Stegostoma tigrinum: one gene and its partner. The protein of the gene in region 1 interacts with the protein of each later gene in a pairwise test. Links are inferred from orthologs where the notes say so. Each region holds a gene or a part of one and is shown in the gene's direction. Other genes may lie near its edges.

The links. The genes of interacting proteins can lie anywhere in the genome.
Region 2: the proteins of mcm3ap (region 1) and mcm3 interact in a two-hybrid assay, tested with the Homo sapiens proteins (2 studies listed by BioGRID). The link is inferred for Stegostoma tigrinum from reciprocal best matches to the Homo sapiens genes MCM3AP and MCM3.

What each region holds. Positions count from the first base shown.
Region 1 is NC_081360.1:6,017,105-6,024,904, reverse strand, and holds the start of mcm3ap (germinal-center associated nuclear protein), read left to right. Parts: upstream 1-4,704; 5' UTR 4,705-4,902; coding exon 4,903-6,007; intron 6,008-7,800. Other genes in the region: endoribonuclease YbeY-like, read right to left, coding at 4,446-4,655.
Region 2 is NC_081362.1:96,838,782-96,845,714, forward strand, and holds the start of mcm3 (DNA replication licensing factor MCM3), read left to right. Parts: upstream 1-3,829; 5' UTR 3,830-3,870; coding exon 3,871-3,939; intron 3,940-5,310; coding exon 5,311-5,423; intron 5,424-6,499; coding exon 6,500-6,708; intron 6,709-6,933. UniProt on the Homo sapiens protein: Acts as a component of the MCM2-7 complex (MCM complex) which is the replicative helicase essential for 'once per cell cycle' DNA replication initiation and elongation in eukaryotic cells.

The sequences.
Region 1 (7,800 bases):
TTTCACTCTATGGTAAGGTCAGAAATGGAGCTATTTGTTGATGATTGCAGTGTTCATAATTCCTCCATAATTATAAAATAATCTATGTCCATGTGTAACAAGATCAAGACAACAAGCAGACGTTGGTTTTGTCATGGAAAGTAACATTCATGCCACACAAGTTTCAGGTATTGTCCATCTCCAACAAGAAAGAACCATCTCTTTTTTTACATTCAATGTATTACTATCATTGAATACCCAACAATCAACATCCTGGAGGTTGCTATTGACCAGAAACTGAACAGGACCATCTACACTAATACAAAAGCCACACAGCAACGTAAAGGCCAAGTATTCTGCAGCAAGTAATTTGCCTCTTGACTCCCAATATCTTCATACCACTTCATTCATAAAGTCAGGAGCTATGGGATACAGGGTGATTTGGCTGTCTGGATTCAGAATTGGTTGGCTGACAGGAGGCAGAGAGTGGTTTTAGGTGGTAAGTATTCTGCCTGGAGGTCAGTGCTGAGTGGTGTCCCACAGGGCTCTGTTCTTGGGCCTCTGCTCTTTGTAGTTTTTATAAATGACTTGGATGAGGAGGTTGAAGGGTGGGTTAGTATGTTTGCTGATGGCACAAAGGTTGGAGGTGCCGTTGATAGTATCGAGAGCTATTGCAGGCTTTAGCAAGACATTGACAGAATGCAGAGCTGGGCTGAGAAATGGCAGATGGAGTTCAACCTGGATAAATGCCAAGTGATGAATTTTGGAAGGTCGAACTTAAATGCTGAATATAGGATTAAAGGCAGGATTCTCAGCAGTGTGGAGGAACAGCGGGATCTTGGTGTTCAAGTGCATAGCTCCCTTGATCGAGGTGTACAAGGTAACGAGAGGCATGGACAGAGTCGATAGTCAGAGACTTTTCCCCAGGGCAGGATTGACTGCCACGAGGGGTCATAGTTTTAAGGTGTTAGGAGGAAGGTATAGAGGAGATGTCAGAAGGAGGTTCTTCACCCAGAGAGTTGTGAGCGCATGGAATAGTTTACCAGTGGTAGTCGTGGAAGCAGAGTCATTAGTGACATTTAAGCGACTGCTGGACATGCACATGGACAGCAGTGAATTGAGGGGAATGTAGGTTAGGTTATTTTATTTTTGGATTAGGATTATTCCACGGCACAACATCGTGGGCCAAAGGGCCTGTACTGTGCTGTACTTTTCTATGTTCTATATGTTCTCCATCTCCCAAAGCACAAGTCAGGAGTGTAATGGAGTACTCTCCATTTGCCTGGACGGGTGGAAGTCATGGGTGATTACTTCACTGAGAACCTGAAGTGGAAAGCTAATCTACCTCTCAATTCAAATTATATTAAATTTGTTTGAAACAATGTGAAAGGTTCTCGCGTCATCTTTCTGAAATTGCCTAATTTACACTATCCGAAACTCCCTTTTTGCAGCAATAATGAACCTAAATTAACAGCAGACCAAACAATACTGGCTAAAAGGTTCCAAAACTCATGATTCATCCCAACAGCTTGATTAGCTAGTAAACAGAAATATCTAAGGTTTTGGAGTAGATCTGTTGCTCGCAACGGACCCCAGAGTTTAAAAACCAGGTGGGAAAACACACCTACGCTTCATCAGAGGCTGCACTGAGGATGTTACCCAGCAGGGTAACAAAATGTCTGTGGAACAACAAACCAGCTCGGCGAGCTAACCAACCTCATAACAGAAGTGATATAGGGAGTTTTTAATTAGGTAACCTTTTGACTCGCTCTTCAGTCCAGAATCTATCTCTGCCTTACAAATATTCAATAATCCTGATCCTACTGGTCTTTTGGAAAGGTAATTTCAAACTATGACCCTAAGGGAAAACCATTCTCCCCACCTGTCCTAATGATGATACTATATGACACTTTTCATTGTATTCTGTAACAAAAAACAAGACAATAAATAAATAAATCAAATAAAGGGGAGAACCTTGTTTTAAAACTGTCTCCTAGCTGTAGTCTCTCCCACAAACAGAAACACTGTTGTAGAATCTACTTGTCAAACCTCCTTTGGATCTTATATATTTCAACAAAATCACCTCTAATTCCTCAAAACTCCAATAGATACAGGCCCAGAATGGTCAAACTCTTTCTCAAAGACAACCCCTCCATTCTAGAATGAATGAAATTGTATTGTTATGGTCCCAGCTGATGTTAATATTGGACAAGTCAGATCCCAGAGCTTAACCGGTCCAACATGTATTTTTAATTTGTGGATGTCAGTTGCTGAACAGTGATAACAATTTGCAACTGTAGTCTTAACACAAAGAATAAAAGGTTTATTAAAACAAGAAAAAACACAAACTAAAATATATAAAAAAGAAGTTTGGAATGATTTCATTCCATATACTGAAAAGGATTCAAGCTCACACTAGTTTCTTTTTATGAGGTTGTTGACTTGCTTGTCGAGCTGGTTTGTTTTTGTTCTGATGTTTTGTCACCATGCTGGGTGACATCATCAGTGGAGACTCCAATGAAGCGCTGTTATTCTACTCTGCTTGAAATTTATACTATCTGGTCCATTATGGTGAGTACTGTCATTTCTGGTTTTGATCTGTACGGGTTTATATATGGGGTCCAATTCTATACACTTGTTGATTGAAGTATGGGCGGAGGACCATGCATCTAGGAATTCCCGTGCATGCCCACTTCAACTGATGGCCTTCGTTGTCTGCATGTACAGACATTAAGGAGAGTTTATTGTGCTGTTTTTCTGCCAGCTGATGTTTGTGTGTTCTGATGGCTGGTTTCCTTCCTGTCTGTCCTATGTAATGTTTGTGGCAGTCATTGCATGGTATTTTGTAAACCATGTTTGTTCTGTAGGTTGTGGGAATGGGGTCTTTAATTCTTCTAAGTGTCGGAGAGTGGCTGTGGGCCACCATGATTCCTAGTGGTCTTAGGAGTCTTGTTGTCAGTTCCGATATGTTTCTGATTTAGGAAAGTGTGGTAAGTGTGTTAGGTCATACTGTGTTCTCCTGTTGCTGTCAGTTATGTAGGCATCTGTGGCTGAAGTTGCAGGGACAATTCATTTGAAGCGAGGATCTTGTATAAGTGTTCTTCTTCTTCCGGGCATAGTTTTGGAGTGTTACACTGTATCCTGATCCATTTAAACTGTGTCCTAATGCAGCTTTATTTGTGGACATTGGGGTGGTTGCTGTGATAGTTGAGGATTTGATCTGTATGGGTTGCTTTTCTGTATACTGAGGTTTGGAACTCCGCATTTGTCGGTCGTTCTACCTTAACATTCAGAAATGGAAGTTGATTGTTTGCTTTTTCTTCCTTTGTGAATTTAATCCCTGTAAACACTCTGTTGATGAGGTGGCAGACCTCTTCTAATATGTTGCGTTTGTCCACAAACAAAGCTGCATTAGGACACTCAGACTTATTACTGTCTTTACATCCAAGTCTCTTGATAAGGCTGACACATTCAGTTTCCTTCTGCCAAATTTCAGTGCATTAACTAAATGCTATTTCTTCAGTAGGTATCTCTCCCCAAGACACCTGAAACAAACTGCAAACTAAATTCACTATTATTTTAACAAACATACAAGTTCTCTAAACTCTTGTTTCCAGCAATTTTGCAGGATTTCTTACTAGAGGTTAACACTCCTATCTCATGTGGTCTCTCACAATGCCTTGCATAACTTTAATAAAAAGGTCCCAACTTTTATATGTTCCATCCTGCTTGCAATAAATGACAACATTCCATTTGCCTTCCCAGTCATTTACCATACCACGTACCAACGTTTGGAATTCATGTACTAAGATACCTGGATTGCTCTGTACCTCAGAGCTCTGCAATCTTTAATACATTTAAATAGGATGCTGTTTTTCTCTACTGCTTACCAAAGTGAATACATTCACTTTATCTCACATTAGATGTCATCTGCTATTTTTGTCCACTCTGATAACCTGTCTACGTCCTTTTACGGCCGATTATGAGGTTCACAACTTTTTATTCCCTATTTTGGTGTTATCAGGAAATTTAGCAACCATTCACCTCATCTTAAACTTATCTGAGTATCTTAAAAACTGGGATAATACATTCTTTTTACAAAACATACTGTCCACACGTAGTTGAAACAGTTGAAATTTGGAAGTATTTTAAAACATGAATGCTTCCATCAATTTCAATTCAGTTTAAACAGTACTCAGTGCTACATATAATATAGACACAGTGATCAAGTTCAGACAGTGCACCCCGAGGACAAAGACACAGTTTTCCATTCAGAGAGAATGCTGGAGTTGGTCAGGCAGTCTCTGTTTTGGGGAAGGAGGATAGAAGAGAGAGATTGAACCTTCCACGTGGCTGGCCTTTCTCCTAAAGAGATCTCCCTCGGGCTTGGTTGTGGGATCCAACTGACAGTTTGGAGTTCGCGGGATCAGGACAGGGAGAGGAGCCCACATCCCAGTACCCGTTACCTGATGGACAGGAAAGGACAGTACATCCGTAGCCACCTCCTGCCCCCGGTACCGCCCGTTCAAGGTCTGTATCCGCTGGTCGTCCACACAGATCAGACCCAGGTCGAATCGTGCGAGGCCCAGAATGTGGAGCAAGGTTTGAGTGTCCCGCCGGAGCCGGGCCCTACGAAGCTGCACCACTTTCTGTGCGTTCCTGATCACCAGCGCCATCTGGGCCTGGATTCTCCATGGCAACCTGAATCAGTCGGACCGGAAAGGAAGACGAGAAATAGCTGCACCTGCATTTTTTTTTGTTCCGGGGAAGGTGACCGGAAGGGAAGGAAGAGGAAACGGACGGTGTTTATGCTGAGCGGTAATGGTGGCGGTGTAGTGAGTTTCATTGCTGGGATCTGGGGTTTCGTGTTTGATGTTTGAAGCCAGGCGCACTTAGAAGAGCTGATTCACTGAGGGTGGTGCCATGGATCCCGCGGGCAACTTTCCCCCTCCCCCCTTCTTCCAGAAAGGGGACAGCGGTTTTCAGGGCCAGCAGGATGCTCCTTTCTCCAAGGCGGGGGAGGTGGGAGGTCCACGGGCTCCATCCATCCTTGGTCCCTCCTTTAGCTTTAAACCTCACGGCACCTTTCCGGCTTCTGTAAACTTCGGCGCCCCGATGGGCCCCGCGTTTGGACCGGCCGAGAGCTGCTTCCGAGGGTTTGGGAAGCCGGACGCCCCAAGGCCGCGGGTTGGAGGGCTAGACAACAAACTGCCGTCCAACAAGCGGCCCTCGTTTCACTTCTCGCAGCCGCTGAGCAGCGGGGAAACGGCCCTCCTCACCGCTCCACAGTCCGTAGGCGGCCCCTCCTTCAGCTTCTCCCAACCGACCAACAGTGGGACTTCTTCTGGCCTCTACAGGATGCTCCGGCCGACGGCCACTGTCAGTTTGCCCAGCACCTTTAGCTTTTCGCAGCCGGCGGCTATGACCAGTGCTTCCGGAGGTTTCCGTTTCGTCCATCCCAGCCCCGGCAGCAGCTCAACCCCATACACCTTTTCTCAACCGAGCTCGTCCCCCTCGCTCGGTCACTCTGCATCCAACAAGAAAGTAGCTTGCGAAGAAAAACAAACTCTGAAGCCAAGCTTCGGAGGGACTGATACAACACCGCAGGGCTGTCGTGAAGGGAGACGCAGTGCAACGGCAGCCACTGCAACCCCAGCAACGTTTGGGCTCACTTCGAAGCACGAGGGGCAGGCGGGACAGCTGACGCCCAGGAAGGGGATGAAAAGGAAAGACAAGCGAGACAGATCACCATACCAGTTTGAATACAGTCCTGGTAAAGAACCAGCCTCAGTGCCCAAACACAGTCCGTCTCCAAGGAAACGGCTGTCGAAAGTTACGCCATCACTGGGCGTCTTCAGTCGCACTCTTCAAGATGTGTTGAAGGGCAGTAGGAGGGAGTCTAAAAGAGTCAGCACATCTTCAGAAAGTGAAACGATTGAAAAGTTAAAGCTGCTGTCTGAGACAAGCATCCCTTTAGAGTGGCCTGCGCGATTGAGAAAAGAAGAACCAAAGAAGAGAGTTAGAGATGGTGAGTAGAAATGTGTGGGGAGATGTCATTTTTGAGATAAAGACATTTCCTTGTACAAATGGATTTTCTTTCGATTGTAAGATCTTTCCTGTTTTGATTCAGTGAAGCTACTTCAGTTGGAGCAAAATTCAAAATGGCGCGAAGTGGAACTGTGTTCTTAGAAATTTCTGGGATAGAAATTCTTTGCTATTTCCGCCCTGCCTCTCCTCAAACCACAAACCAAAATGGGCATGTCTTTTAGTGTCTCATTTACAATGCAGCTGGAGCTCAGCAGAGCAGTACAGTGCAGTATCAGCTGAATTTAGGAGCTTAAGGCATGACCACAAAATAAGCTTCTATATGAACATAGGCCCCCTTAGAGAGTTCAGACTGTGGAAATATTAATAGGAAATCAGGAAACGACAAATAAATTGAATAAATACTTTCCATCAGTCTTCAGGGCAAAAGACATAAACAGCATTCCAATATTACCTAATATTCAGAAATAAAAGGAAGATAGAAAAGAAGTACAATGTGGGATGGCATGGTGGCTCAGTGGCTAGCATTTCTGCCTCATGGTGCCGGGGACTCGGGCTCAATTCCAGCCTTGGCTGACTGTCTGTGTGGAGTTTGCACATTATCCCCCTGTCTGCATGGGTTTCCTCCGGGTACTCCGGTTTCCTCCCACAGTCCGAAAGTGTGCAGGCTAGGTGGATTGGCCATGCTAAATAGCCTGTAGTGCTCAGGGATGTGCAGCTTAGGGAAATGGATCTGGGTGGGTTGCTTCAAGGGTGGGTGTGGACTTGTTGGGCTGAAGAGCCTGCTTCCACACTGTAGTGATTTTATGATCTATGACATCTTATAGCACTGATAGCAGTCTTCCAGGAATCAAGAAATGCTGGAAAAGCAAACTGCCATTGTAATATGTTTATTCAAAAAGGGAAGGAGACAAAAAATGGTAACTTTAGAGAATTAGCTTTACATTTGTTAGTTGGAAAAATATTAGATTAATACAGTCAGGTTACGTGAGTGAGCAAAAACTTGGTAGATGGGATATAATATGGGGAAATGTGAGTTTGCGCATTTTTGTAGCAGGAATACAGGAGGTTAATAATATCATTTTAATGAAGAAAGACAGCAGAAAGCTATGGATCAAAAGGATTTGGGAGGCCTTGTGAATTAATCACAAGAACGTAGCAGTCAATTTCAGATGATAGGAGAACAATATAGAACGTTGGCCTTTTAATTCAAAGAGAATAAAGTATAAAACTAGGGAAGTCTTACTAAAACTATGCAAAGCATGTGTCAGACCAAACCTGGAATACGGAATAGTTTTGCCCTGCTTATCTAAGGAAAGATATACTGGCATTGGAAGTAGTCCAGGGAAGGTTCACTAAGCTGATACCGCATACGGAGGAGATCTTGATTCAGTTGGAACTTTATTTGGAGTTAAGATGAGAGGTGATCTGATTGAAACATAAAAGATTCTTAGAGGTCTTGACATGGTAGATGCTGAGAGGTTGCTTGTCTGTATAGAAGATTCAAGATTGGAGAGTATGATCTTGAAGCAAAGGATTGTCCCTTGAGGAGAGAGGTGAGGAACTTTTCCGCAGAAGGGTCACTAGACTTGAAAACATTAACTCTGTTTTCTCTCCACTGTTGTATGAATATGTTGAAAGTGGGTTGGATGGCTAATGAGAAGTGTTAATAGATTTACAATCATGAAGGAAATCAAATGTTATGGAGAAATGGCAGGACAATTGAGTTGAGGATTTTCAGGTCAGTCGTGATCTCATTGAATGGCAAAGCAAACT
Region 2 (6,933 bases), on another chromosome or scaffold:
CCATTCCACTTTGTGAAGTCAATGACCAGCTTCTTCATTTTGCTGCTGGTGATGGAGAGATTGTTGTCTTTACATATGCTGTTAAGCACTCTATCTCTTTCCTGAATTCAGCCCGCATCCCTCTAAACCCTTCCTGTTCATGTACCCATCCAGATGCCTTTGAAATATTGTAATTGTGCCAGGCTCCACCACCTCCTCTGGCAGCTTATTCCATACATGCACAACTGTCTGTATGAAAAAGTTGCCACTCAGGTCTCTTTTAAATCTTACCCCCCCCCCCCCCCACCTTAAACTTATGGCCTCTAGTTTTGGATTTCCTTACTCTGAGGAAAAAGACATTGGTAATTCTCCCTATCCATGCCCCTAATGGTTTTATAAACTCTATAAGGTCACCCCTCAGTGTACAATAACAGATGAATGGACACTGTGCAACAATCGCCAGACAGGAATCTTCCCTCCCAGTGGCAGAATATTTTAGCAGTCAAGGACATTCAGCCTCTGATCTTTGGGTAAATGTCTTGAAAGTGTTGTGAAGTTGGTGTGAGTAAAATTGTAAAATGTGTCATTCTTTTAAAAGATTGTTGTTTTTCAGTGCTTAGAGTTAAAATGGATGACTGACAAGCACCTTGAAGTGGAGGTGCACACAGAAAGAGCTTCCGAATTGAAACATTTTGTATTAAACAGTCAAGCAGCATGTTTTGAGAAGATTTGTAGCTCAGGTTGAGGTTCTGGATGTGAGATTGCTCGCTGAGCTGGAAGGTTAGTTTTCAGACGTTTGTCAAGCAGCATTTCACCAAGACAACAAGTCTTTTCAAATTTAGCCAATTAATTTAAACTAAGTCCTTAGATACTAAAATATTGTCAAATTTAAATCTGGTGGTGTTGACAGCATCGACCACTTGAGAGAGAGAGAGAGAGAAAGAGAGAGAGAGAAATTGATTGTCAGAATCATCTATGTATTAGATGAAGCACCATCTATCCTAAAACAGTACCACGGCATTTCTAGCTAAAAAAAAACTCACAGAAGCAATTACAGAGAAAAACATCCCTGACAGCAGAATCAGTGAAAGATTAGATTCCCTTCAGTGTGGAAACAGGCCCTTTGGCCCAACAAGTCCACACGAAAGACATTTGTGGCATAATCAGGAAGGCAGAGCGTTCCAGAAGACACAGCTTACACAAACTTGGACAGACTATGTTTTAATTTATTACTGCGTTATTAAGTGGGTTTATATAAGTGGGACTTGTGTTTATTGAATAGCATTCTATTAGAATTTAGTTTATTAAGGGAATAGTTAGTCTGGGGGGAGGGGAATCGTTCAGTTTGTTAGTACTTCTCTTAATTTGTTCATTGTTAGAGTTGAATAAATAACTTTTTTTCTTGTGGATCAGGGATTTTCTTTCTTTTAATCACTCTTTTAACAGAATATGAGGGGAAAGGTGAGCTTCTCTGGGAGTTTTGGGGGTAATTATTAGAAGGGAACCTCTACTCCCATCATAACTGATTGGGGCTTGTGTTTTGGTCTAAATATCAGCAGAGATCAGCCATTCTCCCTCCATAAGAATTCGGGGGCTTGTCTGGGATCTGGATGGACTTGGACAGCTCAATTCTGGCTTCTGGACAAATTTGGACAGATCATGTCCACAATCTGGCTGTTACATGTGGTGGGGGAAGAACCTGAATGGATTTGGACACGTTTAAACAGACTTGGGGATTAATGTCCTAGATCTGTTCCCTGGGATGCTCACTGCAATAAACATCACCTGTACCTGAAGGACCATCAACTCAGTGAAAGCTGCTCTTTGGTTTTTTGCACTCGCCACACGGTGTTTCGCCCATATATCCCACAAAGGACTGTGAGTGGACTCTAAGTAGTGACATGAAATGATCTTTATTAACTATAATACCATAATAACAATTATGCTACAAACTAACAATTAATACAATAAATCTGGCAAGTAATACTGGAAATCTAAATCAGAATCTTGTAATTTAACTTAATTTGGAATGATCAAATATCACCACACTAAACCTTGGCTTTAATACACATGGTGATGGGCATCTGGTCTTCATCTTCCAGTGATTCCAAGGGCAGAGGTGCCCTTACAGCAGTTGGTCTCAGGTTACTGCTCCCAAGGGTGCTGTTGCAGTGATTCTTGTCCTTGGAAGCCTCTGCAACCTTTTGGGAGAATCTTTGATTCCCAGCAATGGATCAATCAAGAATCAATTACCCTGATTGATCAGACCCAATCAGACAGTACCATGCAAATGGTGGTGTGGCCTTTGGTCTTCCATTTCTGAAAGTGTTAGGGGTACATAAATCAGGTAGGCTTCCCAGATATCAGACTGAGGTGTCCCTTTATTCTGGAAACAGCTCATTATTTTCTATTGTCCTGGTAAATAGGCTTAATCAATTGCAAATTGTACCACCTGCAGCTGCAGCCTGCCTGTCTGCGTCTATAGGTTGTTTATTTCAGTATCTTTGCACAGATGCTTCAGCCAATGCTTGGCTTGATTTCCCAGCATGTTTGGTGTATTATCCAATACTGCCATTTTTTAGTGGCCCGTTGGGCTACAGGTACGCACGGACCTTGTTGATCCTGACCGAGTGTTGCAGACTGGCACATTCCAAGGTCCAGGATTATGTGCTGAGGGATGCACACTAAAGCTTGGGGAAGCTGCTGTCAAAGTGTCGTGGGGGAAGAGCATGGTCTGAAGTCTTCCTGCTGAAGATAAATGAGAGTCCATTCAGTTAATGGATCCTCCCAGTGTGCCAAATATTTGTGAATATTGGTATTGTATGTGTGAGCAGTCTTTGAATTTGCGTACAGTCAAACTGCAATGTTTTGTACAGGAACAAAAACAAAGTTGCTGGAGAAGCTCAGTAGGTCTGGCAACATCTGTGAAGGAGAAAACAGAGTTAACGTTTGGGTCCAGTAGGCCACCAGTGACCTACCAGACGCAAAATGTTACCTCTGTTTTGTCCTTCACAGATGCTGCCAGACCTGCTGAACTTTTCCAGCAACTTTTTTTTTGTTCCTGATTTACAGCGTCCGTAGTTCTATTTTTATCCAATGTTTTGTATTTTGTTGACATGCAGCTGTGCAGAACTCCTAAGATGCTGTTTGGCCTGCTGCGTTCATCCAGCTCCACACTTTGCTATCTTGGATTCTCCAGCGTCTGCAGTTCCCATTCTGTCTGAACTGTTTTTGTGTCAGTGTATGTATACAAACTTTATGAATAAAATGTAGCTTTTTGCAATAAAAAAAGAGATTTCACTTAAACATATTGGGCTGTAACCTGGTGTCGTGTGACTTCTGACTAAGGCAGACCTAGTCTATTATTAGAAACGTGAAACCCCTGACCATTACAACCCTTTAACTCTGACTTTGAAAGCATCTATCGCATTTGATTACAGGGAGACTCGGATCCTTTGTTGCGTTAGTCCCTTTAAATAGGCGGAACCAGAGACCGGGGCGGGGTCCGTCTCAGAGGCGTGGTCTATGGCCAGGGCCGGGCCAATGCCGTGGAGGAGAGATCAACGTCGGGGGCGGAGCCAGTGTTCAGGGGCGTGGCCGTCGCACAAGGGACATGATACAGTGACCAAGGGGCGGGCCCTGTATCCAAGGGCGGGGCCAAGCGTTCAGTCTCGGCTTCAGTGCCCATAAGGCGGACCCTACGTCCAAGGGGGCGGACCCTATCTCCTGGAAGCGGGCGGGGTCTGTGTCCATGAGGCCTGGGCTGGCGGTGACGGGGCGGGGCAGTGCGTGTCAATGTGACCGCGGTGCATTCTCCGATTGGTCCGGGGTTTTTCGCGCGGAAGCCGGTCCCACGTGACTCAGTTTGGCGGGAAAGCGGCGGCGGTGAAAATGGCAGCGGTGGAGGATCCGGCTCTGAGGGAGGCTCAGAGACAATATCTGGACTTTCTGGATGATGAGGTGGGGGCTGTGGGGGAATAGGGGTCAACGCCGGCGATGAGTTTGGGGGGGGGTGCGGGGTACTGGGCTGGGTGCCTACCCTACTCCATGGGCATGTGTTTCCTATACCCCTCCCCGGGAGGGTGCGACCACTCGGCCCGTCCGCCTTGTTCACCCTGACCCTTCCACCCCACTTTGCACACCACTCCCCCATTTCGACTCCCCTTACCCAGCCCCTCCCCCATGCCCACTTCCCCTCCCTTATACCCCACACAAACCATCCCCTTCACCCCCCTCCCCGACCCTCATCGCCCCCCCCACTTCCACTCGCCACCTCACCCTCCTCCCCCCGCTACTTGCCGTTCCACTTGCACGCCCCCACCCCATTTCACAACCCTCCACTCACTTCTGTTGTGCTTCAGGTGACCCTTTTGACCGTCTCCTAGCTTGAAGTAAAACAAACAAGTACAGCTGCTGCAGATCTAAGACGAACAGAAACCGAATTTGAAACTCAAAAGGCTGAGTACATCCGTGGGATGAAAGCAGAGTTAATGCGTTGAATCCGGTGACACTTCATCCAGGGCTCCTGCCTTCTGATTTTTATTCCTGTATCCCTTCCCAGTTGCCAAGCAACATCCAGCGGTGTTTACCTGACACCTGCTTCCCTTGGTTCATAATTTGACTCAAAATGAATGTTTGAAATGAAGTATACATGAGTGCACACAAACGAGGAGCAGAGGAGGCCACTCAATCCCTCAATCTGGCTCTGTCTTTCAGCAACATCAATGCTGATCAGATTGCTTTTTTTTCCCGGCTACCTGCATAAACACTTCTTCTCTCCTCGCTTATCAAGTAGCTGTCTATCCCAGCCTCAGAAAGATTCTGAGTTATTCTGTCACCATGCTGAAACCAACATGCAAAGAGACCAGAAATGTAAACAGAGTGTTGAAAAAACTCAGCAGGTCTGGCAGCATTAACATTTTGTGTCTGATATCTTATTCAAGAGAACCTACAGCATGTGATTTGCAGCAGTTTAAGAGGGCAGCTCACCAACACCTTCTCAAGGACCACTAGGGACAGGCAGTAAATGCTGGCCTGGCCAGTAATGCCTATATCTTACAAGTGAATTTCAAAAAAACAGTGGTTCCAAAGATGCTGCCAGACCTGCCACGGTTCAACAGCATTTTGTTTTTATTTTATTAATTGTGCACCTGTTCTTGGGTGAAGCTGCCCCTGACATAACCAAATCAGTCCAACTTGAAAGCGGTCACCTACATCAGAGATGGTTATATCCCTGATGGTGATTTAATCAGTTGCTTTGATAAGCTTTTAAAGAGTAAAGGACCAGTTGAAAGAATTTCGGGCTAAGGTTTTTTGCATTCTTGCCAACAGCAAGACCAGGGGATTTACCAAAGTAAGGTGAGGGACATGATCAGTGACAACTTGTACCGACTGATTGTCAACATCAATGACCTGCGCAGGAAGAATGAGAAAAGAGCGACACAGTAAGTACCTTGCTCAGATAACAAGGTGTGGAGCTGGATGGACACAGCAGGTCAAGCAGCATCAGAGGAGCAGGACAGTTGATGTTTCAGGCCTACACCCTTCTTCAGAAATGCGTCTAGGCCCGAAACATCGGCTTTCCTGCTCCTCTGATGCTGCTTGGCCTGCTGTGTTCATCCAGCTCTACACCTTGTTATCTCAGATTCTCCAGCATCTGCTGTTCCTACTATCTCTGAAACAAGTACCTTGCTCACTTGTCTAACCTGAACCCACTTCACTTCCACAGTCCCCCTTTACTGTATACTGCTCTTGCCTGATGTTAAAAATCTTGCTAAATAGGACTTTAGTGTGCCTGAGCATGCTCTGCTGTTCAGTGCGATAATAATTGATTTTCATTATCAACTGCCACTTTTTCTTATCAGGGTTTCATATTCCATTACTCCATCTCAGTACATAACAAAGCAGTTCATGCTCTCTTGGGCAGCTTTCTGACACTTTTCTCCATGGCATTTAGAAATGGACAATAAATGTTGGCCAAACCAGCAGTGTCCACATCCTGTGAATAGTTAGGGGGGAAGTAAAACAAACTCCAGAGAGACTCAATCCCCTGAGTGAGGAACTTTCTCATCTGTTTGAAACATATTTTAAATGTGCTCGAGGTGGCGGAATGATCATGAAGTGTATGTTGTTGGATTGATATGGATGTTCCAATCTCTTGTTCCAAGAGAGGTACAGCACCCCTGGAGACAATTCAGCCCCTGCTCTTTAAAGGATCAATCCATTAAGCCACAGTAGTCAGCTCTGTCACCACCATCCTGCAAACATTGAATAGATATCTTTTTGGAGCTATCACTGAATCTGTAGGCATCACCTTTGAGTGCATTCCACGTCAAAGCTCACTTTTCTCTTAAAAGAAACCTCCTCATGTGCCCTTGGTTCTTTTATCATTCTAAATCTGTCATCTCTTGTTACTGACCCTTACTTCCCTCACCACTGGGGGTTGAGGTAGTATATCTTTAACATTTGAAAACCTGTTGCAGATACACTGAGCCAGTTAACCTTTGTCTAATTTTCTCAGACTGCTGAGCAATTCCTTTGAAGAACTCCTGGCCTTCCAGCGAGCGCTAAAGGACTTTGTTGCCTCAATTGATGCCACCTATGCCAAGCAATTTGAGGATTTCTACATTGGACTGGAAGGCAGCTTTGGATCCAACCATGTCAGCCCACGGACCTTGACCTCTCGGTTTCTCAGCAACGTTGTGTGTGTGGAGGGAATTGTGATCAAATGTGAGTCTGATTGGGTGAGACTGGGTGCTGCTCTGTGTTTGCATTTTGTTTTGTTCGTGACTTCGGCGAACACTCCTTGCAGTTGGTTCTCATTGATTGAGGAAAATGAGGTTGTTAATAGACAGCTTGTAACTTAATGGTGTATTGTGAGAACTGTTCACCTGTGGTAATCTTAAACTGAATACTCACTGCTTTTTCAAGTGGTTCAGATGTTTTTGAAAGATC